2 linked regions of the Saccharomyces cerevisiae S288C genome follow. The protein of the gene in region 1 purifies or fractionates together with the protein of each later gene. This does not show direct contact. Each region holds a gene or a part of one and is shown on either strand. Other genes may lie near its edges. The genes, in order: TIM11 and ATP20.

Evidence for each region.
Region 2: the proteins of TIM11 (region 1) and ATP20 purify together in Saccharomyces cerevisiae (affinity purification with western blotting; 4 studies listed by BioGRID, with this or other methods). This does not show direct contact.

Annotation. Positions count from the first base shown.
Region 1 is NC_001136.10:1,111,422-1,114,211, reverse strand, and holds TIM11 (F1F0 ATP synthase subunit e), read left to right. Parts: upstream 1-1,918; coding exon 1,919-2,209; downstream 2,210-2,790. Other genes in the region: PEP7 (phosphatidylinositol-3-phosphate binding protein), read left to right, coding at 185-1,732; mitochondrial 54S ribosomal protein mL38 MRPL35, read right to left, coding at 2,520-2,790. UniProt on the Saccharomyces cerevisiae protein: Mitochondrial membrane ATP synthase (F(1)F(0) ATP synthase or Complex V) produces ATP from ADP in the presence of a proton gradient across the membrane which is generated by electron transport complexes of the respiratory chain.
Region 2 is NC_001148.4:597,793-600,924, forward strand, and holds ATP20 (F1F0 ATP synthase subunit g), read left to right. Parts: upstream 1-2,077; coding exon 2,078-2,425; downstream 2,426-3,132. Other genes in the region: MCM DNA helicase complex subunit MCM4, read left to right, coding at 1-1,759; AGC1 (citrin), read right to left, coding at 2,857-3,132. UniProt on the Saccharomyces cerevisiae protein: Mitochondrial membrane ATP synthase (F(1)F(0) ATP synthase or Complex V) produces ATP from ADP in the presence of a proton gradient across the membrane which is generated by electron transport complexes of the respiratory chain.

The sequences.
Region 1 (2,790 bases):
CAAAAGTACTGGCGATGGAATCACTCTGGCTATCACTGTTATTTCCAGGCAGGGTAATACTTTGGGAAAACAATAGAATAATGAAAACATATGATCAGTAGCTAAATTGACCGACCTAAAGAGCAAAGCCGGATCTCATGGTTTTTAAAGGGATATCACCGAATTTCCTGGCGACTTATCTATTATGGATCTTGAAAATGTTTCATGTCCCATTTGTCTAAGGAAGTTTGATAACTTACAAGCACTAAATGCACATTTAGATGTTGAGCATGGGTTTAACGATAATGAAGATTCACTCGGTTCCAATGACAGTCGTTTAGTCAATGGTAAACAAAAAAAGGCCAGATCTGTTGATAGCAGTGCGCAAAAGTTGAAAAGAAGCCATTGGGAAAAATTCAAAAAAGGGAAGAGCTGCTGTCACACATGTGGAAGGACTTTGAATAACAATATTGGCGCCATTAATTGTAGGAAATGTGGTAAACTGTATTGCAGAAGGCATCTTCCTAATATGATTAAACTTAATCTTTCCGCACAGTATGACCCCAGAAACGGGAAATGGTACAATTGCTGCCATGATTGTTTCGTCACAAAACCTGGCTATAACGATTATGGCGAAGTAATAGATTTAACACCAGAATTCTTTAAGGTACGAAATATAAAAAGAGAGGACAAAAACTTAAGGCTATTACAATTAGAAAATCGGTTTGTCCGTCTAGTTGATGGTCTGATTACACTCTATAACACATATTCTAGATCCATTATTCATAATTTGAAGATGAATAGTGAAATGTCCAAGTTAGAACGTACAGTTACTCCATGGAGAGATGATAGAAGTGTACTCTTTTGTAACATATGTTCCGAACCATTTGGGCTATTACTAAGGAAGCATCACTGCAGATTATGTGGTATGGTTGTTTGTGATGATGCAAACAGGAACTGCTCAAACGAAATAAGCATAGGTTATTTAATGTCTGCAGCGTCAGATCTGCCATTCGAATACAATATACAGAAGGATGATTTACTTCATATTCCTATATCCATAAGATTGTGCTCGCACTGTATCGATATGCTATTTATTGGCAGGAAATTTAACAAGGACGTTAGAATGCCGCTAAGTGGAATATTTGCTAAATATGATAGCATGCAAAATATATCCAAAGTAATTGATAGTCTCCTGCCCATTTTTGAAGACTCATTGAATAGCCTGAAGGTGGAGACTGCCAAGGATTCTGAAAATACACTTGATCCAAAGAATCTGAATGATCTCGCTCGATTAAGACATAAATTACTCAATTCTTTTAACTTGTATAATACACTAACAAGACAGCTCTTAAGTGTAGAACCTCAAAGTCATCTAGAGAGACAACTTCAAAATTCGATCAAGATAGCTTCCGCTGCATACATAAACGAAAAAATCCTACCGTTGAAGTCGCTTCCGGCAATTTTGAACCCAGAGGGCCATAAAACGAATGAAGATGGGCAAAAAGCTGAACCAGAGGTAAAGAAATTATCGCAACTAATGATCGAAAACTTGACCATAAAAGAAGTGAAAGAGCTGAGAGAAGAATTGATGGTCCTAAAGGAACAAAGCTACCTTATTGAGTCCACAATTCAGGACTATAAGAAGCAGCGTAGATTGGAGGAGATCGTCACACTTAATAAGAACTTAGAAGAATTGCACTCAAGAATACATACCGTTCAATCGAAGCTGGGTGACCATGGGTTTAATTAAGACATATCTTTATTATTCGATCATTCGCGGAATCTCCACGCTAATTGGTCCGCGGAGCCAATCAGATCTATTTAAGGGTATAAATTTTTCTTTAGTTTTTTTGACTTTTCACACAGAAATTTTAGATAAAAGGAAGTATTATATCGGAACATAACGTATATAGGAACTAGCTGAGTGAGTTAAAGGATGTCGACAGTTAATGTTTTGAGATACTCTGCGTTGGGTTTGGGGCTATTTTTTGGTTTTAGAAATGATATGATTTTGAAGTGTAATGCTAAGAAGAAAGAGGAGCAGGCACAGTACGAGGAGAAATTGAAGCTGGTAGAGGAGGCAAAGAAGGAATACGCCAAGCTACACCCTGTAGTAACTCCTAAAGATGTGCCTGCGAACGCCTCATTTAATTTGGAAGATCCTAATATAGATTTTGAAAGAGTTATTCTTAACGCCGTTGAATCCCTGAAGGAAGCTTCAACATAAATAGAAGCTTCAACATAAATAGGATACTAAAAATGCACATTAGCTCGCACTGAATGACGAAGTTATGATGGATTCTCGTTCGCTAGATGTTCCATATTTTTTTCTTCATTCGTTAGTGCACAAACAATAAGGAAAAAAATGAAATGTATATATTCTAGAACATACTAATATCATACGTATCGTATTGTAAACAAAATTCACATTCCAAAAATTTTTCAGATTCTTACTTTATATTATTTGCATCAAGCTTTATTAACAATGACACGTTATTTTATATGTACAGGATACTATAATGTCATACTATTTAGGATCACCTTCTAACTCTGCTAAAAACCCTTCCAGGTGGTAGGCCATATTTTTCTCTGACGGCGGCGACTTTGGCATCCCATTCGCTTCTCCAGATATGTGCCCCAATAGCGGTTAGATTGTATTTCTTCGTAAATTGCCTGATATCAAAATCATCTCTACTTAGTTCCTTTCGGTCAATCTCTAACATGTTAGGACCTTGCTTATCCTCGATTAAGGGTTGTCTGAATACCCAAACAACGAATCTCTGTTTTCCAGCATTCTTTTCAGGTACC
Region 2 (3,132 bases), on another chromosome or scaffold:
ATGCAACGTCTGCGATCATACAATGGCAGTGGAAATTGATAGAGGAGTTATACAAGAGCCCGCTAGGTGTGAACGTATTGATTGTAATGAACCCAATTCCATGTCACTGATTCACAACAGGTGTTCATTCGCAGATAAACAAGTCATTAAGTTACAGGAAACTCCAGACTTTGTGCCTGATGGACAAACGCCTCACTCTATCTCATTATGTGTTTACGATGAATTAGTGGATTCTTGCAGGGCGGGCGATCGTATTGAGGTGACTGGCACGTTCAGGTCCATCCCCATTAGAGCTAATTCCAGGCAACGCGTACTAAAGTCGTTGTATAAAACATACGTCGATGTGGTCCACGTTAAAAAAGTTTCAGATAAGAGGTTAGACGTCGATACTTCTACTATTGAACAAGAATTAATGCAGAACAAGGTAGATCATAACGAGGTCGAAGAAGTAAGACAAATTACTGATCAGGATTTAGCAAAAATTCGCGAGGTTGCGGCAAGAGAAGATTTATACAGTTTATTAGCCCGCTCTATTGCCCCAAGTATTTACGAGCTAGAAGATGTCAAGAAGGGTATATTACTTCAGCTATTTGGCGGCACGAATAAAACCTTTACCAAGGGTGGCCGTTATAGAGGTGACATAAATATTTTACTTTGTGGGGATCCTTCTACTTCCAAATCGCAAATTTTGCAATACGTTCACAAAATTACTCCTCGTGGTGTGTATACTTCGGGTAAAGGTTCATCTGCCGTTGGTTTAACTGCTTATATTACAAGGGATGTCGACACAAAACAACTTGTTTTGGAAAGTGGTGCATTAGTATTGTCTGATGGAGGTGTTTGTTGTATTGACGAGTTTGATAAAATGAGTGATTCTACAAGGTCCGTCTTGCACGAAGTCATGGAACAGCAGACTATTTCAATCGCAAAAGCGGGAATTATCACAACACTTAATGCCAGAAGTTCTATTTTGGCCAGTGCTAACCCAATTGGTTCACGCTACAACCCCAATTTGCCTGTGACTGAAAATATTGATCTACCGCCCCCACTACTTTCGAGATTCGATCTGGTCTATCTTGTCCTTGATAAGGTTGATGAGAAAAATGACAGAGAACTAGCCAAACACTTAACAAATCTTTACCTGGAAGATAAGCCCGAACATATTTCTCAAGACGACGTGCTACCAGTTGAATTTTTAACGATGTATATTAGTTATGCAAAGGAGCACATACACCCAATAATCACCGAGGCCGCTAAGACTGAGCTTGTTCGTGCTTATGTAGGAATGAGAAAGATGGGTGACGATTCGAGATCCGATGAGAAGAGAATCACAGCTACCACAAGACAACTTGAAAGTATGATTCGTTTGGCTGAGGCGCACGCCAAAATGAAATTGAAAAACGTCGTAGAGCTGGAGGATGTTCAAGAAGCCGTTAGATTAATTAGATCAGCCATAAAAGATTATGCAACAGACCCTAAAACCGGTAAAATCGACATGAATTTAGTTCAAACAGGTAAATCAGTTATTCAGAGAAAACTACAGGAGGATTTGTCAAGGGAAATTATGAATGTTTTGAAGGATCAGGCATCAGACTCAATGTCATTCAATGAGCTTATAAAACAAATCAATGAACACTCTCAAGATAGAGTTGAGTCTTCTGATATCCAGGAAGCCTTGTCAAGATTGCAACAAGAGGACAAGGTCATTGTCCTTGGCGAGGGTGTAAGGAGATCAGTTCGCCTGAATAACCGTGTCTGATGCTGTCTACTACAATCATTCCCTGCGTAACAATTAATAAATACTAATTAATTATAGCAAGTTTGTATTTTTTACATCCTTATGCTTTGTAACACTATTCAATACTGTATGTAGGCTCGATTGAGTGGGCGGCTTTTTTCTTATTCCTGATTGGCTGAAAGAAAATATTGTTAAACGCACTAAATTTATCCCGAAGGATGATTACATTTAAAGACCGAAAAATGAAGATGCAAAGATCCCTCATATTTTCTACTCCAGTCCAAATCGACAAGATAAACCTGCCGATAAATCATATTTCAGAACGCTAATCAATTCATCATGCTAAGCAGGATCCAAAATTATACCAGTGGGTTGGTTTCTAAAGCAAATCTTTTGTCATCAAAGGCTTTATACTATGGTAAAGTCGGTGCCGAGATTTCAAAACAGATTTATTTAAAAGAGGGTCTTCAACCACCAACTGTTGCCCAGTTCAAATCAGTGTATTCGAACCTTTATAAGCAGAGCCTAAACTTTGCTCTAAAGCCTACAGAAGTTTTATCGTGTTTAAAAAACATCCAAAAGAATGAACTATTAAAATATGGCGCATATGGTATTCAGTTGATAGGGTTTTATTCTGTCGGTGAAATAATTGGAAGAAGAAAATTAGTGGGATATAAACATCACTAAGCTTTTTAATTCTATCTATTCGCAAAACCCTTGTATATTCGTTAATTAAATTAAATCAATGTACAAATAGAACAAAACTAGAAAAAAGAATATATATTCATCTCAATTCTATTTATTTTCTTTTCATGACATACAATGGCATTAAAAGCGATATCGAGTTATATTACATTAGCTTCTTGCCGCCAGTTATTTATGAAATAGGCCAATATAACTTTTCTGTAAAAAAGAAAACTTGACCTCAGAGCTTTCATTACACTTATTAAGAACAACATACTTGTTGCACTATAGTAAAAACTACAGTGAAATTGATCTCAGGATCATTAGTAATTTTTCTCACTATAAGAAAAAAAAAAAAACATATATTTTGCTATGAATTATAATAAGTAAATATATACATATATATGTACAGAGAAACTGACGAAGAAAATAAATCACCCGTTAATGCTTCTTAGGTGCTCTTGAAAGTTTTTATAAACTGAAGAGTCAAACCTAGAAAAGTTATTGTCCAAATCAATGAATGTTTTCGCAATTTGACAGCTTTTATAGTAATAATTGGCATGTTTTCTATCATCAGAGTAAAACTTTTGCTGTGGGAGTTCACCGTTACTATGAACTACTGTCTCTTCATTGCCTGCGTCGTCATCGATACAAAATCTCTTCCTACCCTCTCTGCTTTTTAATTTGTTATCGGGGGAGGGAATAAAGCC